4 linked regions of the Styela clava genome follow. The protein of the gene in region 1 purifies or fractionates together with the protein of each later gene. This does not show direct contact. Links are inferred from orthologs where the notes say so. Each region holds a gene or a part of one and is shown in the gene's direction. Other genes may lie near its edges. The genes, in order: claspin-like, cell cycle checkpoint control protein RAD9A-like, serine/threonine-protein kinase ATR-like and protein timeless homolog.

Region 1 (8,565 bases):
GCAGACAATTGCTAAGTGGAATGAACCGATTAAATCGATGTTAATTTATATGCAATAATATCAACCTAATTAATACATTACCTTGTTAATCAATAATAATTGTCGTATAATCTTCAAAATTATTTTCTTTCTTGCATTCGCCGTCAGGTTATTGGTCTGAAAATTTAACTCCCTGGACAAATGAGAATACTCTATATAGCATAACAGCTACTCAAAAAAGCTTATAACTTTCTAAATCGAGCACATTTTCTTGTTTGCATACTAAAATAAGACATATCTCGTACATCGTTAGATTTCAATGCGGTAAATGCGACATATTGCCAATCATTTTATACCAATATTATTACTGGACAATATATAAATAGGAATTGTTTTGGTATTCTGTTCGTATTAGAATTATTTTTTTATTAGTATATATATATTATCCAAACAATCAAAACCTTTATGATGAAAACTATCCTGTATTTTCTACACGGTTACCATTATTGCCATCAGACTTTTTACTTGAATAGGAGATAAAATAGGAAGTGAAGGATTCTTGAGAGTAGTTTCAGTACCTTCAAAATATTTGAAAACTATTAGAAAGATGCTCTAATCTAATGTATATAAACAAAGGATATACAATGTTAGCATATGACATAAAATAGTGCTTCTACGAATTAAAAGAAAATAGCATAAGTTTGGTCGAAATATTGGCTCCCACTGGGCTCTTAGGTTGTTTTCACAATGACATATAATCATATAAATGCAAATTTTCGTGACAATGAATAAAAAATCGTTTTGAGGTCAAAGGAGGCACGGAAACATAGGAATACTAAAATAAAATTTTATTGAATGAAACATAACAGCCAATGGCGGCGCGTGGTCATTTTGACAACCGGGGCAAGCTACTGCGGGACCAAGTCACCCCATCCACGGGGACAGGATGAGCGCTGTAAGTTCTCCCATCATTTTATGAGTATAAAAACCATTCCATCGGTAACAACCAATCGGCAAAGGGCGACAATTTTTAACAATAAGAAAGTGTCTTTAAAACCGGTCCAATTCAAGGGATTAATAAATTTAGACATAGTTTATTTTGAAACCTCTTTCAAAAGGAAAGGCAATATTTACCCAGATAAATACAATGACATATTAACAGAAACTTCGGAAAAGCAGACAAAACCTAAAATAAGGTTTAAAACGTTACTATTAAGAAGGGAAAAATAATGTAAAGATAAGGACATGCGTCGCTCACTCATAGATATATATGCTGCTAGACTTCTACTGCTTGAACATATATGCAACACGCCGCGGTTTCTTGGAAGCAAAATGCTTAATAACGCGCTGATTAAAGTCATGCATCCCAGAAATAACGTCTCTGTGAATGGATAAAACAGCCAAGAAATTTAATCTATCTTGCTTCATTGTGTTTATGAGATACGTTTCAATACGCTTCAACGTGCTGAATGTTCGCTCTGCGTCGGCGGACGAAATAGGCGTCGTCAAAATGATGTCCAGAAATTTTGCAGACGCCGCAAAGGTAGTTACTAGAGTGTTATCTATGAGAAACCCATAGATCGCGCAAGTTGATGTGATGTTCAAAAAAGTTTGATTGGTGTATATACATCGCAATTCATTTTCCAATTTACCCACGTTTATCATGGGGTAAAATTTGGAGACAGTAGCCAACAAATGGATGGGAAATTGACGTGCAATTTTTGAAAAATTTTTGGGGTTCATCAAAGAGAACGCGGCAAGGTGTTCAGTGCGCAGACGATCGCCTATTTGATTCACCAGAATGTCACAGCATTCCTTTGCAGACAAAATCAAACGCTGCGTTGTTTGCCCGCGGCGTAAAGAAGCACTCCATGTGTCGTCGTATTTTATTGTTTCCCGGATACGAGATACAGCATCGCAGAAGTCTGAAATACACGACTGCACAGACGCTCCATCCATTAGCCTTGACTGCAATGCGCCGTATAATACATCCACGTGATAGAATATTGTGGAGAAAAAAGCGAGAAAAAATTAAAACTCACCATCTTCTAGCAGACGCTTTAGACCTGCCGCCTCCCTCACAGAGCGTTCGTCCCAAACCGGAGAGCTCTGAATGCCATTGAAACACTCAATGACTCAGACCTAATTTCGAACACGCCCTGCACCACGCGTGATTGGAAGTTCCAACGTGTTGGTGCACAAGCTGGAAGACGGCGGCTACATATCTGGCGAAGGAGGTCAGAGCGCTTCGGCGAAACGAAAAAAAATGAAGAAAACCCCGAAACATTTGCAAAAAATATACGGACGAGAGGGATATCAAGACACATATTTTCAATAACGAGGTTAAATTGGTGTGCATAACAATGTAAAAAATGCGCATGAGGAAAATCTTCTTTTATATAAACTTGAACACCATGTTTCGACCCACTCATGACTGCCGCGCCGTCATAAGTTTGAGCTATCAATTTTGACTTCGCGTTGTAAGGCTGTAACACTTCTTTCAGTACAGCCGATATCCCGCAAGCCGTGCGATCAACGATTGGTACAAAGCTGTGAAATCTCTCGGTAGGTTTACCATCTTTCACAAACCGAAAAATCACAGCCAGTTGGGAAACGCACGTGATGTCAGTTGTCACGTCAGACTGAATCGAAAGGAACTGGCAATTCTCAATTTCCAAAGCCAAATGTTGTAAATAAATTTTATACATTGAGTCGAGCAAATCATTTTGGATATCCTTAGATGTCCCTTTCGAAACAGTTGCGGCATCAAGATGATCTCTCAATACTGTATCTAGGGATGCGGTGTATTCCACCATATCCAAAAATACCCCTCTATTAGAAGAGCCAGCCAGTTCATAGTGCCCACGGAGGGACAGCTCGTGACAACCAATGAACTTCTAAACATCTATCAATCGACCGAGAACATGGCGGTTTTTCTCGACGTTTTGGTTGTGCCGACGAATAGAAACCGCGCGTCCTTCATCCAACTGTGCTGCAATATTAACATTTCTCAATGTTCGGTATTTTACTGCATTGTCCAGATGCTCCATAGAAGATTGATGATCCCTGGCACGCTCGGAAAGATGTTTAAGATATCTAAAACCAAATTTACACCAACGTGAGTCACGGGCGGTAGTCGTCCCGTCGACGTTCGGCGAAGGCTTTGCGAGCGAAAAATGAAACATATCGGGAGAATATGGCTAATGTAGACAGTCTGTGCAACCGATATTGAGGTATTTTTCGAATATTTTTTATTATACCGAAAAAACAACCGGGGCATTGCCCCGGTTGGCCCTATTGACGCGCCGCCACTGATAAAAGCACATATTTCCACAAGTAAATTATTCGCAGTAACTTAATGTTGTTAGCTAGTTAGAAAATTGTGGTGACCGTGGGCACAAATGATCATGAGAGAAAATATGTGGATGTGTCAATGTAAATTACCACAAGCACAAATATTTACGAGGGCACAAATATAAGCAGGTTCAAATTTTATAGATGCTGGTTTATGCGATGAGGCTCTTGCCAAACTTTGAACTGAGATGATTTCATGAAACCGATTTGCAGAAATCAGTGAAGAAATCAGTGTTAATGATTGAAATCTGAGAGATGACCATCGAGAGAAAAAGAGAAACTGAGGCAGATAAAAGAGCATGTGAAAAAAAATGAAAAAAGAATCGTCCTATTATGAATGGGAAATAAAAAATCAAGGGTGCGATAAGAGTGATATCGAGTTGACCAGTGGCGAGAGAGGAGCGATAGAGAAAGAGAGAAAGAGCAAGCGAAAACCAGGCACGGGGAATGAGTGGGTCTATTGAAAAGCCGGAAAGGGAGTATAATAATGAAATCAAAATCATTGTGCGAAAATTGAGTAGGCTAAGTCATGTAGGAGACAGGAAATAGCGGGGTTTTGTCCGCATCACCGAAACAAACAGCATAAAGCAATAATATTAATTGGTGGACGGGCCAAACCACAAAGATTTTCGGTCTAGAAACTACAAAGGTTTTTTCATGGGAGTGAATAACATTTTTATACGCAGTGAGATGATATCAGCAGATAATGGCTGATGTTTTTGAAATGGATAAGTAAGATATTATGTTGTCATAACACGTAAAATATCTCAGGTTCTGATGTATTAACAAACCATTATCTCTTTTGTTATCAGTCGCTTCTTATCTAGGGTTGTTCTTGCTATAGCAATAGCTCAAAATAAATCGTGATAATGCTGAGATATATATTGTCAATACACGAATAATCAGTAAACGGATTTTCAAATAACGTTGTTTTAGGGCAAGGTGGACTTTTTGTGTTTTCGTGTCAATATGACCCATATTTATCCACTTCGGGATTGTTGAGTACCGGTACTCTTCGCATTTAGGATAGGATTTACATATTTATCCTGGGGGAGGGGAAAACCGATAAGACGGCTTAATCAATAGAGATCCACGGTCTCTCGTCCGGTTACCAGTCCAGGTTGGGTACGGGATTAGTTAGCCAGGTATGTGTTTTCGGAAGCATGGACTTGATGGTCGAGGAAGCCGTAACCGACCAGCGGTTACGTAAATCACCCTACGGCGGCGAGGAGTCTAGTAATCCTCTCGTACATGATCATCCCCGCATGGGATTCGAACCTGCGAACCCACGAAGGATAATCAGAGATGCGGGGGCCAGCGTATTCCTAACGCTTAGCCCGATGCGCCACACCGCCGAGCCATTTTGTCAGACGATGTTTGGCTCTTTGCACAGACGAAACCCAGGATGGCAGAAAAATAGGACGAAAAAAAACAAGAACAACAACATAATAATTACATAACTATCCATGAGCCTAATTCGTGTCCAAAATTTGAAATCGAATGCTTCCCAAGGGAATAATGCATAATCGTTGTAGCGAAATTATTTTCCGCTCTCAGCAACTGTCAATCATTTAGTAAACAGCGGGAAAATTCAGTTTCGGATATTCATTGCTCGTCGATACGCGTTTGCAAGTTGAATGGCCTGCCTATGAGTTTGTTCGGTTGAATCATTGATAATTTTCTGCATTCTTCATATTTGATTCGTCCAATACAGTAATATGAGCCAGTGTGTTGGCGTGGAAGTTATATCTAAAGCTTCGGAGGTAGGATGGAGTGGTACGGTACCGGTACCGGTAACCGGTATGTAGCCTAGTTTACGTTAGAACTCTAAGGTACCTACCCTACTGACTTAAGGGTCAGAGGGTCTAACGAAGTAAACGCCGTAACACAGTATCGCCGTATCGGTACAGCAGTAACTGCTTAAATCACGCCAAACAAAAATTTGATGCCAAATTTTTATGTTTTTTTTAAAATTCATCTGGCGGCGAATGTCTGAATGTGTACGCGTTTAGTTAAAATCAAATCCACTTCTGTACCGTACCGTACCCGGTACTCAATTTAAAACTAAGCTGGTACCGGTATGTCCCATGCCAAATTGGGTACGGTACGGCTGTACGGTACCGTACAGGTACTGGTATAGAGTTACATGCAACAGCATCTGAGCATGGCTCAGTGGATGCGGTATCATTTCTCTCATCACCAAAATCTGAAAATTGTACTCTTCACATAATCAAATAATTACAGCATTTTCTTTTGTTCTTCTTTTTTTACATTTTCAATATTTTTAGAAATTTTCTCTTCCTTCCTCAAGTGATGAAGATGAACCCATTGTTATGAAAAGAAGAAAAAAAAAGACAAGTAAAGTTGAATTATTATCTGTTTAAGTTCATTGTTTACAAGCCAGTTCCAGGAATGTCTCAAGTGAACAAAATATAGGGTGGTGCAGCCAGCCTGTGGACGATTTCATTCAAATAGCTATAAAATAAAAGCCAATATTTCTAATTCGTTAATTCTTTCACCGTAGGTGCATTGGCATTTATTCTACACGCTACAACTCGAATTAATGTTCTACAACCAAGGGGTTAAAGCTATACAAACCACCAAAGTACGACACTCAGAAGATGTATTTGCGACTGAACGACCAGTGTGCGAGCACAGATTTCGAGCCTTGATCATCGTTTCTGCTGCGACGAGACTTCCACATACGCAGCCATGCGTAATAAAATTGGTCTTTTAATTGCATTTCTGACCGTCATATATTTCAAGAACACAGTTGTTTCGAACACAACCCGTCAAATTACAAACAAAGCATCGCATCGCAGCAATCAAACACACAAAAACATGGTGGTTGCAAATTTGTCAACGAATTTATTATTACCGACCTATTAGAAATGCGCACCCCCCACATTCCTCCTTCTGGAAATGTAGAAACGCGAAAATTTGAAGATGGTTAAAAGAAACACAACTCTACCCACATGCCAAGTTTCATCTTTTTATCTCCTATACTTCTATGGATTTTCAACCTTTCCTGCAGGGACAATAGGTTGTTGGCGACATGAGCAAACAGTTCGTTTTTTTTTTCCTCGGTCGTGTTTTCGGTCGTAAGTTCGTTGTTTGTGGCCGCATTTTAGCGTAATTTCACAGGGCTACGAGGGACGATAGTGGAAGGAAGTGGACGATACCACATGAGAAATATCGTCGCGGTTCGTTGATTTTTTCGGCAATAATTAAATTGACGAGTTTGATGGCCGCAAATAGGTCGTGGCCGCAAAGTGGCTGAGCCACCCTATGTTTTACTTTGAAATTAATTGCTTTCTATGATCAGTTTTGTTCCAAAATATTATTTTAAGCAATTGAAGTCAAATAGTATGACCAAGTATGATCAATTTCTGAAAACCTTTTTAACAACTTGATTCAACATTTTAAAAATATATCTTAATAATATTCTAGCTCGTTCCCCTTTTAACATCACAACTGAGAACATTATCTCATATATGTGTGACTTTGATTCGCATTTTTCAATTGAAAATTCTCATTAAAATATATTGTTTACTTTCTGTTCATTATAGTTTTACAAAAATATTAATACATGCTTACTTACTCATTGCACTGCTTCAATGTGTATATTAGTATTATTAAGATAAATTTAAATTTATCTTGTGATATTTGATCACTTTTTTCTCAGAATTTAAATCATCGCCTAATCCTGAACATTCATATGAGGATGAAAGGGTAGAAGAACAAAGTGAGTGCTAATACTATTTCATAATGCATATTTAATTTATAACTGTACTGGGCTGATCCTTCAACCGTTGTGGGCCCAAGGGCCTATGGATGTTTCGCTGAGCATCAACTTCTTTGTTTATTTCTGTGAGAATGACCAATCAGCAAAAAGTAAATGATGACTTAACAATGGCAATTTTTGCAGCCGCTTAAATACTTCGTTCGCCCAGACAGATATCCAAGCATGGTTGTAAACATTGCCTCGTTTCTGTGATTTTGCGTGTCAGATTTCAGTTGTGTTCCCAAAAATTAGTTGTGAATGAAGTAATTTAATTCTCATTATGTCTTCCGATGAAATTAGTTTAGTTGCAGCGAAAGACATGAATAGTAGTAAGTAACCCCTTTTGCTGGGTTATATCTTATTTCATACTATTTTGTTATCTATTGGGTTATGTCAAGTAAGCCTGCTCATGTGATTTTCTTGACGTAATTATCATATTTTGTATTGATTTACGAGGTTTAATAATTACAACTATTTCATATTACTTTTCAAGAATCTTCTGGAAAAAAGAAGAAATCGCGAAGAATTCAGATGGAAGATTCAGATTCTGATAATGATTCTGTAAATATGAACAAAGACATTGAGTCTAGTGAGCGAACAGTTGAAAATAATGAGAAAATTATAGACTGCAATAATGGAATTATTTCCAAAAAAGATCATAATGTCGATATTGAAACTCATCGTAATACACTAAATACAGATGATGACTCGGCAGAAAGTGATGTAGAGTCGACAAAAAGTGATGATTTGACCGAAAATGCCCTTGATGAACTAAAGATCGATAGCGAATCAATAAAAGATGAAGATGAAATTCCAATTTCCGAAATTGATGAAACTCACAATGAAGAGGCAAAAGTTGACAATGACTCACCAGAAAGTGATATTGAATCTGACAGTTCTAGCGATGATGACGCTCCACCATTACGATTATTTAGAAATAAAAATCCAACAAGTGTCACTGAAAGCCGAGGAATAAATTGTGAGGTATCATAAAATTATTGCATCTCTAACTTAAAGATCTATGAAATACTACCTGCCATCATTTTGGTTTGACTCAAAGACTTTTACGAATATTCTCATGGTTATGTTATCAAAATTGACTGGAAAAATCCATAATGTGGAATGCATCAAAATATCTAGTTGTTCCGCTTCCACAGTCAGTTTTGTGAGCTCAAGTCTTATGGTAGATACTCTCCTTTCATTAGTTTCAATTATTTGTATGAGTGAACATAGCTATATTTCTATTGAAACTAAGACACAACAACATTAATAAATTATCCCTAGTAAATGGTTGTTAATAATTTAAACCATTAATCAAAACAGTCTTTAAGGTTATATATATATATAGTTTGAAAAAATACAACATTAAAAATTTTGAAATAATCTGATTTTTATCAGCTCTTGTATATCTTATCAATTTTTTATCATAAAGGATAATGATGTGTATG
Region 2 (7,900 bases), on another chromosome or scaffold:
TGGCAAACAAACCTACGACAGCGAGTAGTCCAACAATCCCATCGCACTTCCACTGCTAGAATAATTCATCCAGTGATGTCGAATAGGCATCACATGTTTAGGCTGTGAGGCGAGGCCCTGAAAACGCCTAGAAAGTGGGTTTCGTAGCGCACATCTGGGGACTATATGAATCATTTAGTTTTGTATGAAAATGAACATATTGAACGCATTACAGCATATTCCCAATAACGAAAGTAGCAAATTATCTGCAAAACATGCTTTAAAAATCTTGATGCAAAAATTGGATATTAGGGGATTTCCCGAAAATCAATACCCATAGGTTCACAACGACACAGCATGAAAAGTTTCTACCATTTTATAGAAGCCATCAAACGCCTCAATTTTATGCGATGAAGTCACAAATTAACACCGTGAGCACAAAACACAAGAAAATCGGGTAAAATCCTGATGCGAAATTGGGGACTCCTCGGAAAATCAATAACCATAGGTTTACAACAACACAGCATAAGAACTATGCAATTCAAGAGCCCTGCTGCACACTAACACAAATGTATTTATGTAACGTTTCGTTTGACCGTAAATAAATAACAGACAAAATATCACTATATTACATTTGACACACAGACAACTTTTCTGGTCTGCATTATACAATACTGAGAAATAAAACACCATTGTGTAATTTGGACTTCAATTGCTAAATATAAAACAAAGAGAGAGATCTCATCAATGACACTTATTTCGGCCACCCGCTGTTATTTAATCAAGAAATTCACAGATTTTATTGATTATTTAACATGCGTGACTCCTATAATTCTACTATGATTGTTTAAATATGCATGTAACTGCTTTTCGTGTTGTAGTTGAATTATGTATGTCTGAAGAAGTCTGACCTTGGTCAGACGAAACGTTACAGAAATATATTTGTGTTAGTGTGCAGCAAGACTCTTGAATCACTTAGGATTGTTATCTCTACTCTTGCTACAGCATCCTTGCAATATATGCATACGGATCCACCGGCACAAAAACATAGAGGAAGATTAAGTAGTTAGTTTCGCAGAAACCAAATAATTAACAAGAGAGCTGTGCTCAAATATTTGAACACGTCACAAGGTATCGCTATTTTTTTATTCTGACACATAAAAAACGAATCTCTTGATATACACTGAAATTTTTGAAATAAGTAAAAGTAATAGCCTTCTGGCAAAAAAAATCAATCTTTAACCATTGAAAATTTCAAAGCAATTGGTTCAGTATTCGAAGAAAAAAGCGATTTCATCATGACGAAAGAGAATAATAATAACAACAACAACAAAAACAACAACAACAACACAATATTGAAACGATTGTTATGTACACTGACGTGTCCAAAACCCTATCCATGGTCAACAGGTGGGGGGATAATTGGCTTTAATTCTAGAGCATGTGTTGGAAACCTTTTTGGTCAAGAGAGCCATAAAAGGTACATACTTTCAACTGAATTTCCGTGCGAGCCATATAGCATTTCTTCACTTAATCAGGCCCGAAATTTTTACTCAAAAGTCAACACACACAATGTCAATATATATATTTAATGTGACTTCTGATGCTGCATGTTGTCGCCGCGTTGAAGTTGAAATCTACGATACTCATCACCCTACTTTCGTTTAGGCATCTCCTTAGTATTTAAAAAACTAGCTTTGCTAGTCCGATTTAAATATGACAAATAGGCTGTAACTACCGTGTTTCACCAAAAATAAGACTGGGTCTTATTTCAATTTTCTTCCGAAAAATAACACTAGGGCTTATTTTCGGGGGATGTCCTATATTTTTATTTATCAAAAACTGAATTACAAAGTAGAGAATCACGAAATTTTCAAATATACAGAATATGAATTAGAGGTAAGATCGGACCCCAAAATTCCAGCCCGACCCGAACCGGCCCCGTGGGTATTGAATTCGCAGGCCCGATCGGAACCCGCCTAATTAACTGGATATGCAGGCCCGACCCGACCTGAGCCGGGTATGGTAAAGTATAGAAGGAATATTTTTGGAATTTAAAGGTCGGGGAAAAGTCCATTACAGCGTCTTCTCTGTTTTATTTAAACTATTTTTTTTTATAACAAGTAGGCTATTCTTTTGTTTAGTATCCACACATAGTTTTTTTTTATAAACATATATTTATTTAAAAAAAAGTCAGCGATAGAGAAGCCCGACCCGACCTGAACGTAATGATTGACATTTCAGGCCCGACCCGAACGTAATGATTGGCATTTCAGGCTCGACCCGACCCAGCTCGAACGTAATGATTAATATTTGAGGCCCGACCCGACGGGTCACAAACTATATTCCAAAATCCCTTAATTTCGTCACAATGCCAGTCTGGTAATTCTCTTAGATGACATAGACATGCGCTGGGCGCGCGTTCTCGAACGTATTAGCAAATTTTCTGCCAAATTTGGCTATAAATAGTTTGAAATCTCGTAACAAAAGTAAGCTTAGCTTTAGAATACTATATTTTTCTGGGAGCCATATGTCGTCACAAAAAAAAAACCCATAAATGGCTCGCGAGCCATGGATTCCCGACCTCTCTATCTAGAGTAGACAACAGTGATGAATTCCTGCCTGGTAATTTGCCCTCAGAACATGTTTCTTTAGTGAATCATTGTTGAGAGGAAGAGTATAATCCACATGTTTTCCAGTTTTAAAAAAGACGTGTTCTTGGTATCATTTACATTCTTACCATCTTATATTGGAACATATCAAAATTATTTCCAAGTAGTCCCCTTATGTGCGCTACGAAACTGAAAGATGAACGGCCTCGTCTCGCGGCCTAGTTTGTACCAAAGTGAACTTTGGTTTGTACAATCTAGATAGCGAATACCCCACAGATTACTACCAGGCTACTACTATCAACCAAATGAGCATGCTCATTGTATCACGACACATAAATTAATCATGCAGTATCGAAGGAAATTTCTGGGGTCAAGGGTTGCGTAGCCATCAATTCTAGTAATCAGGGGACGGACTAAAAGTAGGCACTTGCAAATTAGGCACTTTTTTAGGCACTTATTTAGGCACTTTGAAAAAAAAATAAAAAGGGCGTAATACCTTTTAAAAAACATAATTAATTAGTTAAAAATGGTCAAATTAAATGTTAAAAACGCAAATTGCAACGGGCAAACTCAATAGCAATATGCAAAACGCAGTATTAATGGCAGTCGCACGCGCTTGGTCACCACATATGCTAGGCACATACTTAGGCACTTCGAAAAATAAATAAAAATAAATAATCAGTGAATATTTGAGTTCATGAGCATGAGTTTATCTCCACTAGACTAGAATCTAGATTATAGTACTGGTACATAGGATAACCTAAGAAGTGTTAATACTGTAATAATGAGATGCCGTAAAAGCGCCTAACTTCGGACAGTTCCTAACTTCGGACAAAATTTTTGAACGGCCATATCTTGGCTAAAACGCGCCGTATATTGCTAATTTTAATTATTATAGGTTGCGCTGTTATATCTACATCTATTCTCATCTTTTTTAATGTTGCATAATTATTTTTTTGGTAAAAAAACGGAAATTTTGCCGAAAATTGACTGCCCGGCATTCAACGGCGCAGAGCGTCGCTCCTACTCAAGCTATCATCGTCAAAATACCATCATTCGGTAGAGGGCGACAACAATGTATATAATTTATTTGAGTGATCGCAAGATGTCGTACGAGATTTAAATAAAACCTAAAATTCTGAATTATAAATTCCGTAAGAATATTAAGATTTCACGCAGCGTCAAAAATTACGTCAACCTCACGTAGATTATTTTTCGCTCACTTCCGACACGACGTCACACTTCGTCGCGGAAATGAATTTTGACGCCAGACACAACGGAGCCAATATGACAATTTCCGTTAAGATAAAGACGGCGTTCCAATGTAATATTTTTGTATTTTGTTCGGTCATGTATGAATATATGCCAAAATTACATTAATGAAAATACATGTCACACTTAATCGATAACGTTAAGAATCGAATATATAAAACTATGATAATTCCAACGTCCATATGGCACAGTGCACTGACTTAACCATTATTTTATGATTAGTAGTCGAAATGACAGTTATTGAATACGGCCTGGGTGAATTTTATTCACTCGAAATTAAAAATAAATTTAATCTCCAACAAATAAACGGGACCTACATGTTTACAAGATTAAATTGAATTTTAAATTAAACTTTACAATCGGATTTACCGCGTGTTTGATATAAATTATCATTTATAAAGATAACCGCGCAGAATAAAAAAAGCTATCCGTCGGGAATAATTAATACTTCAATAACTTCGATAGAAGCCCGTTAAAATACTTTATTGTGGATTGAAACGGTTTGCATCAGATATATTTACGTATCATTTCCTGATTAAAATGACTAACGTGTTATTATACTCATCTGAAATATGGAAAATAACGAACGAAAGATGTAAACATAGGACGACGGAAGTTTCAAATAATGAATTTTCGTCGTGACGTCAATGTTACGTTACGACGACGAACGAGCGTCTTATCTTCACGCAACGACGTGATTACGTCATCCGCATCGGAAGCCTCCTTCTCTCTGTGCGTCGCGGTTACGCAGTGAAGAAAATGACTGTCCGAAGTTAGGGCAGTGAAGGATAACGGTCAGATGGCAAGAAATATCGATTATTTCAATAGTAAAAATAGTCCAATTGAACCGAAATTTGCAGGGAATGTAAATTACCACACGAATGTTTTACCGAGCCATTTTGGCACCGTTTGGACAATAAATGGCCGAGTTATTGACGAAAGTATAGTAATTTTGTCCGAAGTTAGGCGCTTTTACGGTGATATCTGGATATAGCCTAAATCCTGAAATCTGCAAATGTATAAGATCATGTTTCAGCTGGCCTACCTCGTTTGTCTGCACTACAGCACTGTCTATATCTAGACCCTGTGTTTGATACTTTTACTTTAGCACAATCACAAGCATATAAACATACCGGTAACAGCATAATGCAGTAATGAAACAGATTTCTGGATTTGCAAACTCCTGAGCTAGGCAATAATTGTTACAAAGTTACTTGTGTACCGGTACTTCGTCGTCCCTTCACGCTACGGTCATGTCTGTCTTACCAGAATTAATTATTTATTGCAGGCTTCATATAAGTTGTCACCTGCTTTTAAATGTTGCAGATTAATCAGCAAAAATGAAGTATCTTATTCCTGCAAATCATGTGAAGTGTTTCGCGAGATCAATACACTGTTTATCTCGTCTTGGGAGTGAGATTTACTTCGACTGCACGGAGATAGATGTCCAGCTTAAAACGTTAAATGCTTCAAGGTCAACATTTGCATCTTTTGTCTTTCCGAGTGTCTTTTTTGAAGAATTTGAACCAGTTATAGAAGACGAAGAAGAAAATCAGTTTCTTCGCTGCAAAATATCAGTTAAAACATTTCTGCAAGTGTTCCGTTCAATAGCGTTTATTGAACGCTCTGTTGAAACTTGTGAGATAAAATTATCTGATAATTTAAGTCAGTTAATATTTACTTTGAACTGTAAGCATGCAGTTGTCAAAACTTATCAGCTAAATTTTGAAGAATGTGAAAGCTTAAAAGCTGTTTATACAAAGGATTTGTCTCCTAATAAACTCACTGCGTCTTCTAAGTTGTTACAAGATGTTTTTGCTAATTTTCCTACCTCGTTAGATGAAATTACGTTATCTGTAACACCATGCAAAGTTTCATTGTCAAGCTTTGCAGATGAGGACGAGGTTGGAAAAATTATGTCGACGGAAATGAACTTAAGTCCTAAAGAATTTAGTTATTTTCAAATCGGTATCGATTCATGCGTATCATTCTGTCTAAAAGATATTCGCTCCATCTTGACATTTGCGGAATCCTGTGGTTCAGAATGTAAAATGAACTTTGAATACGGAGGAAAACCATTTGTTTTGGAATTATCACAAGAGGAAATTTTTACGGCAAATTTTGTTTTAGCAACAATATCTGGTGATTTAGAAAGCCAGCAGCCATCGACTTCAGTTCTAACAGAAACAACGAATAATAATCACTGGAGTGAGCGAACAAATGCAAATGAAAGTAGAATACAACCAACTAAAACTGTGTCTAAAAAAGCTTCTAAAATTAGCGCACATGGAAGGGTCAATAATCACGAAGAAGTTGAACATGAAATCACTAATAACATATCCAATCATCAACAATCATTTTTGCTTGGAAAAGATGACACAATAGTTCATGTTAATGCCATATTTTTCTCAGGTTCAGGGAAGAACCAAGTTACTGCCGTGGATAATACAGTTTTAGCAGCGGATTCTGATGACGAATCATGATGTTGTTTTTTGTTGGGACGCTTTCCTTACAATATAAATTGTTTATTAGAACATACTGTACATTACAGGGTGGCCCACCCCCCAAAAAAAACCATGGTCATTTGGCACAATTCTAGAGATAACATGATTTTAGTACAAAGTGTCCTAGAATATACATTTCCTCTCCCCCGGGATAAATATGTAAATCCTATCCTTTCTTCATTTTTGTAGAAGTGAAAAAATGTTTTTTTTAATCACCCAGTAAAGTGGTCTAATCGAGCCTAAAATGTGTAATGTAGTTGGTAGTTCCTATATTTAGCTATGAAAAAATTTTTTACATATCAATTTATCGTTATGGCAATGCTTTTTCCTTAGATCTTTTTTAATGGATTTTCACACTTTTACAGGCTTGAATATTGTTTTTCTTTAATCATAATTTAAACCAATATTATAGTCTCTTAAATTGATTGATTTCATCCCAAATCTGGTTCGTTTCCCAAGGGTTATTAGGCTAGTGAAAATTCATCAAATTGTTCGCCAGAAACGCCTGTAAAGTAGACATCTAAAATTGTCATTTAATTCAGTTTCATTACTGAGTACTAAGCTACATCCGAGAGCCCTCTTCCTGGAAATATGAATATGTTTGTATTTTTATACCTGTTTATTGCTCAGCCAGTTGGCTGCTATGTTTCTTTCTTTTTTCACGTGCTATTTTTATTGTTCATTTCTACACACTGCGCCATTTTATTACATATTTTATAAATAAAAATATCAAAATGTTGTTGTTCAGTTTACTTTAGCGTCCAGTGGAAAATGAATCCATGATATGCATATACAGCATATCACAGGATAGCATTAGTATGAATTAATACTAAAATTGTGCAAAACCTGATGACGCCCTGCCTTTCTGTCTGGCCTGTACTGTGTAGTCAGGCTTTTCAAGGTTCAAATTTTGAAAGGTTAGAGTCTTCTCGGAGCTTCACAACACCATAAGTTGTTAATAGGATTACAACAAAGTTCTTTGTGCTATTTCCAGCTTTTCTGGGGTGCGGGTGTAGTAAATTAACTAAAGATGTGAAGTTGGGGGGTGTTTCAAACCCAGGTATGAAACCCACTCTCCTGACAATAGGCTTGACTTCCACATTGGCTTCAAACTAGGTATAAGATCGGGCCCAAAAATTCCAGCCTGACCCGGGCCCATGGGTATAAGACCAGACTAATTAACTGGATTTGCAGGCCCGAAATTTCATGTTTTGTTTAAGAAGAATATAATCAGAGGTCGGGGAAAGGTCCATTACAGCTTTTCTGTTCATTCAAATTATTTCTTTCATAACAAGTATTTCCTGGTTTAGTATCCACACATGGTTTTATTTTTTAAGAACATATATTTATTTAAAAAAAAAAGTCAGCGATAGAGAAGCTCAACCCGAATGTAATGATTTACATCTCAGTCCCAACCTGACCCGAATTGTCGGGCTCGGGCTTCAGATCTTAGCTCTACATCCTACAGAAAACCAAATTAGGAAGACTCAACTTTGGCACACGTAAGCCATAAAATTGTCTGGCTCTATTTTG
Region 3 (8,696 bases), on another chromosome or scaffold:
ACAATCTTCCGGTAAGTTTAGGATGTCAAAATCACCGTTTTGTTTAGGAAAACAATTTTTTCTGTCACGTTCTTTGAGGAAAATATGCGTAAATGGGGATCAAACCAATAAAAGAATTTTCTAAAGTTGCGAACAATAAAAACTTCTGAACGTCATAAATAAGTGACATGAAATATAACACATAACAACAAAAGCACAGTGCACGTGGAATGATAGGTCGTCTCGGCGGCTCCTAAATCAGATTTCCGCTACCTCTACTTATAAGGCACAAACAACATTATCAAGGTAGAATGTTCAGTAACCATGACACGGGCATTACAAATTATTAAAATTTATGAATACTTGAATTCATAATGAAAATGATATGAGTTGTGACAAATGCAATATTTTGATTTCATACATTTAAGAAATGTCCAACGAAAGCTAACTGAATCCAAATAATATTGATGTCAAAATTAATTGAATGTAAATATGCCGGCGATTTTCATTTCTAGTTTTGTTCTTCAAAATCTATAGTTGAAGTGAATCATCAAATATACGAACGGATATTGCTCACAAAATGCAAACATACCTCAAATATTGATTGTAGCTGCAACCGGTGGTATATAGGAATAAGATACACTATGGCAGTCAATGCGGCAAAGATAATTCCAACGGCAATAAGTATATGGGCCGTTCCGACAAGGTACACCTCCGCCGGTATTCCAACCAATGAAAAAGATGACATGTATGTGACACACATCGACAGTCCCACAATGATCTAACATGGAGCATAAAAATATAATTATTCGGCATTGGATTTCTATACGTTGAAAAGTGTTTATGTTGGGTTAGCACGAATTAACTGCACATTTTTCATTTCACCTGTACTTGTAGGCCCTATTATAAATAATATACTATTAATACAGTTGGCTAACGGGTTATCGCGAATGCATCGGTTTGACTTTCACAAAATTTGGACTGCACATTTTCCATTTTACCTGTACTTGTATTATATATATATAATACTATCAATACAGTTGCCTAACAATAAATTCAAAGTTATTAAGATCATATCGGAAACGAGTTTCTTTCATTTTGAGGGATGCACGGTGTCACCTATTGACTAAAATGAATGAGTGATTCGCTAGATGAAAAGACATGATTTAAAATGAGTAAGACTGCGTGGCAGTTGGAGTTCAAACTTCATTATCAATACAATTCATTTGGTAGAAAAATATAAATGCATCGAGTATTACTGAAGAATAAAAGAGAATAATGATCATACAGGATTCGATTTTTTTCCAGCAAAGTAGTAGTTGGCAGTTGTGTTGTTTTTTCTATCTCTGAACGCGAAGAAAACGCCAATGAAAGTGGATAGAGCAAGAAAAACTGAAAAACAAAAATATTATTAGTGTGTACGATTCCCTGCTGCCAAAAGGAAATTTCTAGTCTTTTTTCTTGCAAAAATGTTATGAAAAAACATGGGTAATATCTGTTTGGCGTAAATTCATCAAAAGTTTGAAACTCACAAATTATTCATTGCTGAAGAAACTTGTTTTGCCGTTAAAGAGGCATTTCGACCAAAAGTGCAATATTTTGGTTTGAAAATTACATAATTATTAGCAATTCAAATAATGTTTTTTATAAGTAATTTCATGAAAAAATACATGCTAAGGTTATTCATGAATTCCTCCACATGGACTAATATGGTTGTGTCTAATAGTAAAGTTACTCACTTGCAAAAACTGTAAAATCCACCGCACCAAACCATTTCTTCGCATTATCAGTTGAATCCATAATGTTACGTGTTATTCGTCCAAGCTTTGATTTAAAAAATTATATATCTGTCGCCCTATAGAAATATATATATATATATGAAAGCACGTCTCATAAAACGTAATAAAATGCTGGCGGAAGAACCTCTTGATTGGCACGATGAACGTCTGTCTGCTGCACAGTTTTGTTTGGGTTATCCTCATCAATCACCTAAAGCTAGACACATCGAAGGTGATGAGTGCACTACAATAAACATGCGCAGGCAGTAACAGAGAGTTGCAATAAAATGTTGGTCCTTACAGATAATAAATGCGCGAGGTAGGCTACATCAGTACCGTACTGTACGTGCTGTCGAATTGGGATACTCAACATTATTTTAATGACAATATCTCAATATATATATGCTTCATCACAAAATCCACATCAGATAAATATCTAAAAGATACCATCATTATATGTACATATGTATATAATTATGATTTTTGCGTAATATATTGCTCTGGAATAGATTCTACTACGAGTCATCTAAAATAATCACAATTGCAAAAATTTAATCCGTCGTATTGACGACATAATCAGATATTTAATACTTCAATTACCAAAGTTTAATTTGGCAGCAACTTCTCTATCTTCGTATGTGATTAAATTTCTAATATATATATACATCAACCAGAGATCTACAATAATCTAAACTAAGGATAATGGCCCACTCTTTTCCTCATCAAGCATTCGTTTATTGAAATGTGTTCTCGAATGAAGGATAAACAGTACTCCCATTTGCGGCACTGATTCCATTCTAATATTGGGGACAAGTGGTAATTAAATGCCATCATTAATCAAACGAAACTAGTTAACTACACTATGAAGGAATCGGGATTTCTTTCTTTTGAATTTCTTGTTGAGCAAGACAGCGGACGTCCGGACTAAAGGCAATAGTTAATGCTAATTGCTATTATATCCCATATTTTTCACTTTAAAACCCATGTATTTCGACGATTTGCAACTGGTTTTGTTCATAAACTTATTCCAACTCAGATGTTGTGAGCAGTGAAGTCATCTGTCACGTAAGTTTATGCATTGATTCACAGATGCGCAAGTTACGGTAACTCTTTAAAACTGCGTTTTCATTGATTATAATTTGTGTTTGTCGTCGAAGCACGTTCATGTCATATTTTTGTCATGTATTTCAATTGATATCTTGTCTAAGCTTAGTTACCGTCAGAGAGCGACAAACGATTCGGCTTGCAAATTTTAGGGTATAAAAACATTTGCAACCAATACACAGTCAACTCTATCATGCGATCAATCTGCGACTAATATTCTGTGAAGGAAAGCTTATAATTGGATTGAGCCTGGAACTCATTGATTTTATTATTTGTTCACAATGCATGAAGTAGGTTGGTAAGCTCACCTTACGTGCCAATTAATTTAGCTTTCATTAATTCAAACTTTGAATATAAAAATAAAATCCTGGCAAATAGTCTAAAATTTTACATAATAAACCGCAGAATCAAATCACGAAGTTTATACTGAGGCGATGTTAATGAATAACATCTCTTATATATATATAGACTACCGTATTTGCCGTTAAACTTTTCATTTTTCTAATGTATTGCCTGGCAACGAACAGGCAGTCGGAACCTATATTTACAAATGTCTTGGAACTACGCCATACATTAATTATTTTTGTGAATTCTCACGGAAGCTCGTATTTACCGAGTTCATCGCTTAAAAATTCGTCTTTATTTTTACGAGTCCTCTCAAATAATCCCAAGTGCAAAAATTTAGTTCGTCGTAATGACGACATAATCAGGGAGCCCGTTTAATACTTCAAATATCAAAGTTTAATTTGGCAGCAACTTCTCTATATTCGTATGTGTTTAAATTTCCAATACATTACCTAGAGATATGCAGAAGATTTATTTTTAACGATATCACACCTATTAACTATAACGATATTAGTATTTGAAAATCTTAGGTTTCAAATTTTCGCACATTGTTCGTCATTTTTTATATTTACCCATTTTTTACATGTGTCTTTAAACAATACCAATGCGTAAAAGATGATGTTTGTTCGTAGCCCTATTACTAGTTTGCGAAATTAACTCGTCAGATTGTCGCAACACCGATTACTGCACCTTACACAATCAGCAACAGAAATGGAATGGATACTTTGTGTGTGAGACACGGTGTTTTCAAATTTGATATTTTTTGTTTACAGATTCGTTTGAATTATTAGATATCATTTTTCGAGTTCGGTATTCAGTTCTGCTATTTTAACGATCAATGGCGCGGTTGATGATTATCTAGTTTTATAGCACGAGATTCGATGAACCCTTTGACGAACAACCATCGTGTTTCGTATTGAAATCTGATTCTTTTGTTTACGGCATATTTCTTTAACTAAAATTTGTGTTGAATTCAAGAAAGTTATAAAAAAACATTCGACTTATAAACATTAAAAGTAAAACAAACAATAAAAAAATAACCAAAAAAGTTATATGAAATACTGCATAAGAACAAGAGAGCGATGCTAAAATATAAGGACACGAAAGCCAAAGTGAAGCCGACTTTAGCGTAGCATGAGGTAGGTCGCAGAACCCCCACAAATATTTTTTAATCACTTTGAAGAGGTCATCACATAAAATATCGAAGTGAAAAACGAATCACATAGATCCCACGGAATATTTGGAAATAATTAAAAATGATATCCTCCTAGCAAAAAGTAGAATCTTCAACCACTGAGAATTTCAAAGTAATTGGTTCAGTAGTTCAGGAGAAAAGTGATTTTTTTCCATGACAATAAGGAGATAAATACCAACAACAACAACATAATGACAAGACGATCCATGTTTACATTTCGTGTCCAATAACGAAAGCAGTCGGGTATGAAAGCTGAAGTTATCAATTATTCAAGTAAATAATTAAAGCAAGTCGCGTTGCGCTTACACGTTAGTTCTATTTATTTTCTTTTCAAGTTGAATATTAACCAACCAGTTAGGCACGGCTATATTTACGATGAATCGCAGTGGAGATTGGCTCACTCTTACACCTCCAGGCGGTCATTTCCTTATGTTTTGCAAGGAATCGTTCATGCGTAAATAGTGGCGGCATTGGGCTAAGTTTTTAATTAAAGGTGACAGTGAATTCTTAGTTTAGGATATGTATGTATGTTTATTCGTCTCGTAAAAGCAATATAAAAGAATTAGTAATTATAAATACTGAAGACGGGATGGATGCACAAGACCATACTGGCCTAAAACACGAATGTGCGGCATAGTCTACACCCCTTTTGATTATAATACAGTACCGGTAATACTGTAATAAGGTAAATCAAATAGACTATGTATAATATGGTCCTTTATACAGACAGAGACAGTTGTGCAAGGAGGGTGGGTGGGAGTGGTAACAGGGGTAAGGGTGGAGTATACAAAACTGTTTGTACAAAGGAGTTTGTATAACAAAACAACATCTACCGTATAACTGTATAAATAGAGACACAACACAACATGAAACACACTGCATGTAGGGTGGTGTAGCCAGTCTGCGGACGATTTCATTCAAACCGCTATAAAACAAAAACCAATATTTCTAACTCGTTAATTTTTTCACCGTAGGTGCATTGGCATTTATTCCACACGCTGAACTTCGAATTAACTTTCTACGACCAGGGGTTAAAGTTATACAAACCACCAAAGTATGACACTCTGAAGACGTTTTTGCGACCGAACGACCAGTGTGCGATCACGGATTTTAAGCCTTGAACATCGTTTCTGCTGCGTCGAGACTAGGGCATACGGTACGCAGCCATGCGTGAAAAAATGGGCTTCTAATTGCATTTCTGACCGTCATATATTTTAAGAACACGGGTATTTCGAACAAAATTCTTCAAATTATAAACAAAGCACCGCATCACAGCAATCAAACTGACAAAAACATGGTGGTCGCAAATTAGTTGACAAAGATATTATTGAAGTATTGGAAATGCGCACCCCCCTACTCCCCCTCCTTTGAATGTAGAAACGCGAAACTTTAAAGATGGTTAAAAGAAACACAACTCTACCCACCTGCCAAGTTTCATCTCTTTATCTCTTATATTTGTTTGGATTTTCAAGCTTTTTTGAAGGAACAATGGGTAGTTGGCGACATGGTAAAATGGTCCGTTTTTTTTTCTTCGGTCAGGTTTTCGGTCGTAACTTTTTTATTTGTGGCCGCATTTTAGTGTAATTTCGCAGAGCTACGAGGGATAAGTGGACGATAACGCGTGAGAAATATCGTCGCGGTTCGTTAATTTTTTCGGCATTAATTTAATCGATGAAGTTGATGGTCGCAGATAGGTCATGGCCGCAAAGTGGGTAAGTCACCCTAAATATAGTAATTAGTTACTATAAGTACAATACCATTGAGTGATGGTACCACATAGACTAATGCTAAGTTAAACATTTGCGACATATGAATGTATCGATGGGGCATTATATTAATTTGAATCTTGTTTTTCACTGATTTGCGGCGTATGATTACATCGATGCGGCATGATATTAAATTATTTTGCTAATTTTATTCTTGTTTTTCCGATCTATTTTTGTATAAATTACGCATTTTGCGACATATGAATCTCTCTTTGCGTCATTAGATTGTATTATTGCTTTATAAACTTATTCATCCAATGCTGCATCGAGGCATTAAATTTACTGTTTATTGATTGTAGGTGTACGAAAGAACATAAAATATGATATATGGTGTTATCAAAATGTAATTTTTATTATCTCTGATCCATTTATTATTGTTAACACGCCATCCTATTTACATTGAAAATGAGAGAAACACGCCAAGCCAAGGTTTGCGTCGAGGAACGGCCGATGCGTGCCTGCGTGCATCGATTGAAATTCAGTCATGGCACACGCCGCCGATCGTTTTTTGCTTATTTCTCTCAATCGCTTCGGTAAAATTTTTTCTCCTTTGGTGGATCTGATTATTTGTTTCCGAGGAATTCAATGGTGATGGTCTAAGCTTGGCGCTTATTTTTAGTTCAATACGCAACTTCGTTTTACTGTATCTTTACCGATATGGAGAGAATTAGCCGCCATACGTCTCTCGAGGAAGGGGCTTCGATTTCTATTTAAAATAGGATTCTCTGAAACGTGTTGATATTACGCGATACAAATACCGAAACATACGATACAGCGCGTAGCATTCTCTAGTCTTTTCAAGCAGACATGTCCGCACCCGACAAGAGTCTGAATGGAATAATATGGTGAAAGCAGAAAAGCCAATGAGACCCACCGTACTGACTCCCTGACCAGCAGACTCCAGTCTGTACAGTGTTATGGCAGTATGGTGCTGCATTTCAATATTCCAGTATTCTATTATGCCGTTATGGTATTGCCAAACTGCCAAATGATCTGTCTGTCTTGCATCATATTAATAATATTAAATTTTTGTCGGTAAATTATTTCAATACTGTAATAACTGAATCATATATAACTTTTGAACATGGGAACGTCTCTATTTTCAACATAATTAACGACTGAACGATTGGATATAAAGTGTGAAACTATTGAATCAGCAAATGGAACTGGGGAATACTGGAGTAGGCATTGATTATGGTAATGAGTTTAGTCTTGGGATTTTGACTTGATTTTGACATATCTCAATATCTTCGACAACTTTGGAGCTAGAAAGTTTGGAAGCGTATGAAATACTCGTCATTCATATTGTATAAACTCAAGATTCTTCATTCATTCATTAATTTGTTTATTTTCCATCTTGAATAATGGCTGCTATCGGAGAAATTCTGAGTAGCATTGTAGCAGATTATGAAAATATTTCAAGGTATGTACTAATGTTATATTTTCTCGAAAATTCAGAATTTGGTTAGGAGATATTCTCATGGATAGGTTAAATGTAGTGAATAATGGTTTGCTGGACAGCTACACTGCATTGGATTGTATGAAATATCTCAACATTATAACCAAATGCATAATTTTATCTATTTACAGTCTTGATAAATACTGATAGAGAAAAAGAATTAAAACCTTACCTGCCATGTAGTAGCGGCATCTTTTCAAATGATCTAGTCCTATTTTTTATTTGATTTTGATTTTTTTCAATATTCATCTATCAAATTCACAAAATGATGGCATGAAAAATTTGCTTGCTAATATCCATTCCATATCCTGATATTGATACAAAATTCGAATCTTGTCAAAATTAGATTTACCCATATCGGCCATATCAAAAATGCAATATTTAAACGCATTGCGAAGCCTTATCAAAGAAAACATCTCATTCGAAGTAGCCAATTGTGAAACATTCATTGTCCTTAATTAGGCTTTCTGAATTCAGGAAGTTTTTTTCTACTTTTCTTTGTACATATTTATTCATCGAATTATTGTCGTCCACAGTTTGCCTCCAGAACAACTTGTAACAAAATGTGTGAAGATTCGTGAAAGTTTGAAGATGATTATTCATCATCATTTGACAGATGTTAATTCAATTTTTAAAGAACTTGAAAAAGCAAAGGGAAAAACTTCCCAAGTAAATTATTAGTATGCTTGAATTATTATGTATACAGTCTAATACATGTCGTTGTCATATTCAGGGAACTTAAATAAATTTTAATGAAATACATCCGAAACGAATAGGCCCAACTGTTATTATCCTTATAGCCAACATGGACGGACAATAGGCTGATAAGTTGTCATATGATATGACCGAGGTGTGTAATAATAGTGGATAGTGAGTTAATAATTATAACAAAAGCAGAGCTTAGAAACATCTCAAAGTTTAGATTTTAGTACGATAGCCCAGTTATTTTTTACTGCTGTATTTGTTTTTTGTTTGTTCATTTTTTGATCCAAACCTGCTTTGTCTAGGTTAGTTTTTCTATTTGTATTTCTGCATTGTTGGTTGATCAAGGTGAGTGAAGGAGATTTTTT
Region 4 (8,391 bases), on another chromosome or scaffold:
TACTTCCAAACTTTCCTCTATTTTTTTACAAATACCTTACAACTATAAGAGGCAGAAATCACCTTGGAAAAAATAATTTCAGTGTAGTATTGTTGATGTAGATGTCTTAAATTTATTATGTTGTATTTATTTATAGAGCACGTGTCAATGCCCAAAATTATAAATGAGAATTGTTTAGATTGGTATTTTATTTGGTAACCTTTGAAACATTATAATGAACACATATTTGGTTTGAATGTCAGATGTCCTCTAGTTGCTAACTTTAGTTGCAATGATGTGTTAAATTAAGTACAATTATCTGCTGCAATTGGTGTTGCTTTGGCTAAAACAATGGGGCTTTTACAAGTGTTTATCGGATATTTTGAATTTAAAGTAATGTGTAATTATGTACCGTAATTAATATTTTCAACTATTTTTGAAAACAGTTTTATCATGGTGTTTACCTAATCAAATTGCTATCTATAATAAATATAATGAACTTTTTTGTTTTAGTACTATTCAATAAAATAACGTGAATACAAGTGCATTCAAAATGAAAATTGATATACATAACCATATACTTCCAAAAGATTGGCCGAATTTGAAAGATAGATATGGGTATGGAGGCTTTATTCAGCTTCAACATACATGTGATGGTAAGACAGCAAAGATGTTGAAAGATGACGAGTTATTTAGAGTAATCAATGCAAATTGTTGGTCAGCCGAGGAACGAATGAAAGACATGGATGCTACGGGTGTTACAGTTCAGGCACTATCCACTGTTCCTGTGATGTTCAATTACTGGGCCAAACCAGAACATACCTTGGATTTTTCAAAAATAATCAATGATGATTTAGCTAGTACCGTTAAACAATATCCAAAGCGTTTTGCTGCTCTAGGCACATTGCCTATGCAAGCACCTGAACTGGCGCTTGGTGAAATGGAAAGATGCATGAAAGATCTGAAATTTAGTGGATTTGAAATTGGATCTCATATTAATGACTGGAATCTGGATGCTCAAGAATTAAGACCATTTTGGAAAAAGGCAGAGGAATTAGATGCTGCTATATTTGTTCATCCTTGGGACATGCAACTTGGTGGCAGGTATAAGAAATACTGGTTGCCGTGGCTTGTGGGAATGCCCGCGGAAACAACACTCGCAATACAGTGTATTTTATTTGGTGGCGTTCTCGAAGACTTTCCCAAGTTGAAAATATGTTTTGGTCATGGGGGCGGGTCATTTCCATATACATTAGGAAGGATTGAACATGGTTTCAATGTAAGACCAGATCTCTGTGCAACAGAAAATAAATTTGGACCGCGTAAATACATTGGGAATATTTTTACAGATAGTCTTGTACATGATGCTAATGCTTTAAAGTTTTTATTGGATGTTATGGGTGAGGATAATGTAATTCTTGGCTCAGATTATCCTTTTCCCCTGGGGGAACATCACCCTGGTAAATTGATTGAATCAACGAAATCTTTAAATTCTGAGACAAAGGAAAAGGTGCTGTTTAGGAATGCACTCAGATTCTTGAACTTGAATGAAAAAGATTATGTTTAAAGTCTTTAGGCCAGTATTTTGCTCATTGGTGTAAACTTAATTGGTATAATCTATTATGGTCGGATTTTGGATATGGTCTGTGCTTGTGTCTAGTCTAGTGGTGAAATTTTTTTGTATTTGTCCATTTTTATTTCGCATTGCAATATTTTTAATAGTGATTTCTTCAATAAGCTTTTTCGTATGCAATGAATTAATGAATATTTCGTACCTTGTGCAATTAATTTTCATTTCAAAAAATTTTGTGTAGTATATAGTACTGGTAAGGTGACAGCGTGAAAAAATCATGTATTGTTTTGTTTTTATTGTTCTAATCGTTTATTCGGTCATAGCTGTCAAGATAAGATGCCAAAAATTCATTGTGAAATCGTCTAGTTTCTTGCTTTCTTAGCTGAAGATTACACTAACATTGATTCTCTTTATCTCATGTGTATCTAGATTGCGGTATTATAGTTTTATTAAGTAAGCATATCGTTTGCTATAGCATATTCAAAATTATGGCTCAAACACAAAGTGCCTCTAGCTCAGCCGCCATAGGTGGTGATGAAGCATTGGAAGAGAGAGTGATAAATGAAGAATATAAAATATGGAAGAAAAACACTCCTTTTTTGTATGACCTTGTAATGACTCATGCCTTAGAATGGCCGAGTCTCACAGTTCAATGGTTGCCTGATGTCACCAGACCTGAGAATAAAGAATACACTGTACATCGTGTTATTCTTGGTACTCATACTACTGATGAACAGAATCATCTGATTATTGGTAGTGTACAACTTCCTACAGACGATGGGCATTTTGATACCTCAAACTATGATGGTGAAAGGGGTGAATTCGGTGGATTTGGATCTGTTGCTGGAAAAATTGAAATTGAGATTAAAATCAATCATGAAGGAGAAGTCAATAGAGCAAGGCACATGCCACAAAATCCTTGTGTAATTGCAACAAAAACTCCCTCCTGTGATGTCCTCATTTTTGACTATACCAAGCACCCCAGCAAGCCAAATCCTAATGGTGAAAGCTGCCCTGATCTTCGCTTAAAAGGGCATTTGAAAGAGGGTTATGGTTTGTCATGGAATAACCAAGTTGCTGGTCATTTGCTAAGTGCATCAGATGATCACACAGTTTGCCTTTGGGACGTCAATTCTGCACCTAAAGATAAAAAGACCCTTGATGCTAAGAGGATCTTCAGAGGCCATTCTGCTGTAGTTGAAGATGTAGCATGGCATTTATTGCATGAAAGTTTGTTTGGTTCCGTCGCTGATGATCAAAGTTTGATGATTTGGGACACAAGATCTACTAGTTCTGATAAACCAAGTCACACTGTCAGCGCTCATGCAGCTGAAGTCAACTGTCTTTCATTTAACCCATATAGTGAGTTCATCTTAGCAACTGGATCAGCTGATAAAACCGTCGCACTATGGGATTTGCGAAATCTAAAACTCAAGTTGCACTCATTTGACAGTCACAAGGATGAAATATTCCAAGTTCAATGGTCACCTCATACCGAAACGATACTTGCGTCGAGTGGAACAGACAGACGATTGAACGTTTGGGATCTCAGTAAAATTGGAGAAGAACAATCGAATGAAGATGCAGAGGACGGACCACCTGAATTGCTTTTTGTTCACGGCGGACATACTTCTAAAATATCAGACTTCTCTTGGAATCCAAATGAACCTTGGACAATTTGTTCAGTGTCAGAAGATAACATTATGCAAGTGTGGCAGATGGCTGAAAACATTTACAATGAAGATCAAGAGAACGGATCAGCTGGTGTTGAACTCAGTCAAGTTGAATCTTGAAACTATAATGTTACGTTACACAACATGACTTTGACCTAAAATATTTCAGCTTTGATGGATGAGCGTGAAATATCAACTTTAATACAGTGGCTAATGATAGTGAGCTTTTTACAGTCACTCTTGTAGGGATATTTCAACATGGCTATCAATCTTATGTCGACTGCTGTTATTTAAACTCTTCCCAAATTTTCACATTGAGGTAGACTGCCGCTTGCTGCAATTTTATAAGGAGTGTGAGGTGACGCGCGAGCATACTTTTTCTTGTTATTTTCAAATTTTGTTGATATTTTTGAAGTCAAGTATGTAGTCCAAAGATCAGAATTATCAATCAAACATACCAAACTTTTCTAAAAATGTGATGTTCCATTTACTAATACATTTGTTTGATTCGGTAGCGTAGTGACACTTATTTTATACTCTTGAGTATTCCTGTTTTTTATTATTGTTCTGTGATGTACAGGTCATTTCCTTTACCCATGGTCACGCCTATTTTAGGCAATATTTGAATATTATCTGTGCGATATTTAATGTGGGCAAAATGAACACAGTAGTTCAATATATTTTCCTGGAATTGCTTCTATTTTTTAAGTTTTCATCATATTTTTAAAATGGGCTCAAAAATTGGGGTTTAAAAATTTTCCCCATGATTACTGCAATCTTGTACCAATTAGAAAACAACTGAATTTACAGTATACCAAAAAGCACTGGATAATGGTATTTTGGATAGTTTGTTATTGGGCAATGCAAAGGGTTAAAAAAGATATGATATAAAAATGTTCCTTCATTTATAAAAATTAATTATTTGAGTTAAGTTGTTAAAAATGTTCATTTGAAGATCATACAAGTTTTACTGCTCTTGTACTATACCTGTAAACTGGGAGTGGTTAATGAAATTTGAACAACTAAATGTTGTAATTTCGTCCAACAATAGGATAAAACAACAAATGTTGTCCTTCAATATTAGTCCACGGGTTGTGCTGCTATCAGAGGTAAAAAAGTTCGGAACAGCTCGAATTGTTGAGACAACTGATTATTGGTTATTGAAATACAGGGTATTCATTAAGTCCTGTATAAGTTCAACTAGTAGGCGAATAATAAAGGTATATTCAATGAAATGAAAAAAACTTTTTAAAATGAAACAATCCTTTTTACAACAATATTGAGAACTATTTTTTTTGGATATTGTAACAGGACTTATTGAACACCCTGTATATCTGTGTTACATTAGCAAGTTTTTGTTTTATCTTAGTAATTCTTTAGCTGACGGACTATCATATTTCACATGCCTATTTGTTTACTATCTACCAAGCGATGTTATGATATTGCGGCCAGATTTTGTTGGTTTGGCATTCTTTTACAATACTGTCTTTATAATATCATGGGATTGTTTCTATTGATTGTATTTTGTGTCTCGCATAGTTGGTAGTGTATAGGTAATGCACAGATATAATGGATAGTGATCTTCTTGCCACTTGTAATGCTCTGGGTTACCTTGAAGATGACAGATATTTCAAAGAACCTGACTGCATAGGTAGGTGTGGTTACCTGTACTGTGTTTTTCAATTATGCTGAAAATGGTTACAAAATCCCTATATATTGCAATCATTAAATAACAAATATATATAATCCTCATATTTGAGCTGAGCTTGTGTTTTATTTCTTTAATAGTGTTAGGAAAATGTGTAGTATGCCATTACATGTCACGGGATGTTAGTGCTGCCTGTATGGAAATTGGCCTAAAAATGTCAGACTAATTGGGAGTGAAATATCCCCCATATTGCTAGTTTGTTACAATTTCTAAGGTTAATCATCCTCAGAAAAATTATTACCGGTGATCATATTCATACTTTAGGCATGATCATGTTTTAATAATATTTTTCTGGAAATACACTTGATATGCTTTTATTCAATTAGTAAACTAAGATGTCAGGCATCATTTTAAGACCTCTCGTAGTGTAGGCATTTGACGAGTGATTCTAGTGGTGCAAATGATACTGTGGGACATATGGTTTGAGTGGTATGTTTGGTGCATGTGGAACATGTGGTAAAATTGTTACAAGTGGAGCAAATGATACTGTGCTGATAGTGTCCAATTAAGTGGTGCATGGTGGTGCAAGTGTTATAAATGTACTGCAAGTGGTACAATTGGTGCAAACAGTGAGGACAATAGTCAACAGTAAATGGGTATTTGTTTTAATAGCGAACAATTTTTGTTTGGGATGTTCATAGTATCATTCCATTGCAGACACTGTGAAATGTCTCATAAGATTTCTACATTCGGAGGACAATAATCATGAAATTCGCATACAACTCGGAGCAGGGCACATTGTGCGAAATGACCTTCTTCCTATTCTACGTCAATACCCAGATGATGATGCATTATGTGCTGCTGTACTAAGGTAAAGCTTTTAACTACTAATAAGGGATGCTTTAATGATTTACAGATTTATTTTCAAAATTTAATTCTGACTGATTTTCGACTTAAAATCTCAAATTTTTCTGTGTTGTCCAATGCAAATCAGAATTGTGGAATCGGGGTAAATTTACAATCAACTCCAGTTCCATAGTTGCATAAAAAAATGGACTCAAGACTCTAGCTCCCCACTCCTATTTCTTGATAATTTCAACTGAAGATCTGAAATCCCATGGAAATAAAATTTGATAATGAAAGCTTTTGGGTATGCAAACTTTTTTATGGCTGTTAGAAATGCTTTGATCAAAAATTTTTATTTTCGAGTTCCTGTAAAAATATATTTACTCTGATCATCACCATGAAGAGTCTGTTATTTTGGCAAACACCAAGGAATTCAACCTCCCAACTTCGGGGTGCTCGAAAATATAAGTTTGCGTTAAAGAAAATATGTCAGATTACTCCACTGCCTTGATTTATTTCCTGGAACTTTTTTGATTTTTACAACGTTTCTTAGTTATAGTTTTCACTTTTTGCTTTTACTTCGTTAGAAATTCTCTTATTATAGGCTGTTGGTGAATCTTACTCAACCAGCTCTGTTGTGTTATGGTAACAAAATTCCAACAGAAATTGATCAATATCACAATTATCTGGATATTCTCTCTCACAGTCAGGAATATAAAGAGGTGGGTACTCGTGAGATGTTATTCCAGAAGCTGAATAAAGAATGTCTAATAATTTTGGGCTTTAGGTGTTTCTACTGGATTGGGGCAGCAAATTATCATATTTATCAATTTTCAAGGGATTAAATTAGTTTGATTAGTCCAATTAGTCCATTTTAAGACTTATTTATGACAATTTTCTATTTGAATGATGAAAACATGTTTCTATGCATATTAGATAAAAAATTCACATCTTTTGTGAAGTCTTATTCTAAATGTATTTATGCATAAGAATTTTTCAAATGACGAAACATGGAAAGTGCTGGCACAAAAAGTTTACGATATTCTTGAAAAAGATTGGGAGGACAGATCACCGGATGATTCAATCACTGTTGAACGTATTCTTGTATTATGTCGCAATTTGCTGCATGTTCCTCCAACCACTGAAGATGACAATCAGACTGCTGACAATATGTCTACACATGATAGACTTGTAATGTATGAATACAGTAAATAATGCTTCTTGGGAGTAACTTTAATGCAACCGATGTGCTTGCATATTCTCGCACAAAAGTTCTCCATGAACTAAAATAAAAATGAAAGTAGAATTCAATAATACAGTGGCAATTTAAAAAAAACTGAAAAATTGAGAGTACCTTTAATGCGACCGATGTACTTGAAATGTTTTACCACCTTTTAATTAATATCTCAAAGATGTTGGCTGATTCATTTTTCTTATTTTTTTTTATAAATTTATTATCAAAAGTTATTTTCAGAGCATTACATACATCTGGGATTGATTCAATGGTCTTATACTTGGCCAGTTCAACAACAGAACAACAATGGTGTTTACATGTTGCTGAGATTATTTCACTACTGCTCAAAGAACAGGTAAGCAATCATCGTATTTATTGGATCTAGACATTAACATAATTTGTAATATTGGAATATTGTCTTTTACCTGCGGTGCCATCACAAAGTTCAAGACCTATAGCTTCTAGGGCCTAGAGTGGGGCAATGGCCTAGAATCTAGGCCATTGCCCCACTAAATCGGTTTATTACAACAATTTTAGAATGTAGATGCTCTGATTGGAATGAATAATGCTCAAGAACGTGAGAGACAGGGAGATGAGTTAAAACAATTAAGATTACAAGAAGAAAAAAGGAGACAGATGAGAAAATTGCAGCAAAGTTCAAGGTTGGAATTTTTAAGCATCTTATTTTTTACATGATTTAACATATGATTATACATACCATGATTTTTCTCGAAAAAAATGAATCAGGAAAAAATTGTGCCAAACATTTCTGGATTTGTTGTCTATAAAACTATGATACTTATGTTTCTTTGAATCAAATACCTTTATTTTTGTCTTCTACCTTTAAATTTACTAACAATTCAGAATGGAGCACTATTGAAAAAAAAAATGCTTCACAGCTAAAGAATTACCGTAAATTTACTATAAGAGAACCGCTCCGTGGCTCCATTGTGGAATCGAGGGCCCAGTTTGAGGAAATATGTCCTAGCCTATACTAACTTGTTATTTATTTTTAGGCATTCGAGGTTTGGTGGGACCTATGTTGCTAAAGGAAAATCGGCTTTGGCAGATAATAATGAACTTGTTATTCACAAATCTCTACAGAAGTGCTCTAACCTTACTTACGATGAAGGAAAAAATAAACTTCGTAAAGCAAAACATAGGAGACCATTGATTGATGGGAATGTTAAGAGGTGTGTGTATTGTGTATAGTAGTTGAGGTTTTTACACAAAGTGTAAAATTACTTTTGAAATTTGACTAGGGATCTAAATTCGGTAGTTGCCAATTTATACCTCTAAACCAATTATTCCACTTTTCCCCCACTTACAAAATTTTAATTTATGGTAAAGATAAACCATTTTATCCTAAAATAAACTGCATTTTTGGAAAGCATATACCAGGGTGGTCCAAAGTTGTGGGCTCCGCGGGCCACAATAA

What was found.
Region 2: the proteins of claspin-like (region 1) and cell cycle checkpoint control protein RAD9A-like purify together in Homo sapiens (affinity purification with western blotting; 3 studies listed by BioGRID and IntAct, with this or other methods). This does not show direct contact. The link is inferred for Styela clava from reciprocal best matches to the Homo sapiens genes CLSPN and RAD9A.
Region 3: the proteins of claspin-like (region 1) and serine/threonine-protein kinase ATR-like purify together in Homo sapiens (affinity purification with western blotting; 3 studies listed by BioGRID). This does not show direct contact. The link is inferred for Styela clava from reciprocal best matches to the Homo sapiens genes CLSPN and ATR.
Region 4: the proteins of claspin-like (region 1) and protein timeless homolog purify together in Homo sapiens (affinity purification with western blotting; 4 studies listed by BioGRID). This does not show direct contact. The link is inferred for Styela clava from reciprocal best matches to the Homo sapiens genes CLSPN and TIMELESS.

Annotation. Positions count from the first base shown.
Region 1 is NC_135262.1:14,186,967-14,195,531, reverse strand, and holds the start of claspin-like, read left to right. Parts: upstream 1-4,918; 5' UTR 4,919-5,051; coding exon 5,052-5,096; intron 5,097-5,621; coding exon 5,622-5,691; intron 5,692-7,018; coding exon 7,019-7,078; intron 7,079-7,610; coding exon 7,611-8,101; intron 8,102-8,549; coding exon 8,550-8,565.
Region 2 is NC_135250.1:10,169,725-10,177,624, forward strand, and holds cell cycle checkpoint control protein RAD9A-like, read left to right. Parts: upstream 1-5,121; 5' UTR 5,122-5,203; coding exon 5,204-6,346; 3' UTR 6,347-7,109; downstream 7,110-7,900. UniProt on the Homo sapiens protein: Component of the 9-1-1 cell-cycle checkpoint response complex that plays a major role in DNA repair. The 9-1-1 complex is recruited to DNA lesion upon damage by the RAD17-replication factor C (RFC) clamp loader complex.
Region 3 is NC_135260.1:13,861,648-13,870,343, forward strand, and holds the start of serine/threonine-protein kinase ATR-like, read left to right. Parts: upstream 1-5,157; 5' UTR 5,158-7,531; coding exon 7,532-7,590; intron 7,591-8,162; coding exon 8,163-8,295; intron 8,296-8,365; exon of another isoform or gene 8,366-8,467; coding exon of another isoform or gene 8,468-8,476; intron 8,477-8,696. Other genes in the region: sodium-coupled monocarboxylate transporter 2-like, read right to left, coding at 572-760, 1,268-1,371, 1,719-1,779. UniProt on the Homo sapiens protein: Serine/threonine protein kinase which activates checkpoint signaling upon genotoxic stresses such as ionizing radiation (IR), ultraviolet light (UV), or DNA replication stalling, thereby acting as a DNA damage sensor.
Region 4 is NC_135252.1:12,595,187-12,603,577, reverse strand, and holds the start of protein timeless homolog, read left to right. Parts: upstream 1-4,753; 5' UTR 4,754-4,794; coding exon 4,795-4,876; intron 4,877-5,590; coding exon 5,591-5,744; intron 5,745-6,323; coding exon 6,324-6,441; intron 6,442-6,709; coding exon 6,710-6,915; intron 6,916-7,193; coding exon 7,194-7,308; intron 7,309-7,490; coding exon 7,491-7,615; intron 7,616-7,969; coding exon 7,970-8,146; intron 8,147-8,391. Other genes in the region: 2-amino-3-carboxymuconate-6-semialdehyde decarboxylase-like, read left to right, coding at 533-1,546. UniProt on the Homo sapiens protein: Plays an important role in the control of DNA replication, maintenance of replication fork stability, maintenance of genome stability throughout normal DNA replication, DNA repair and in the regulation of the circadian clock.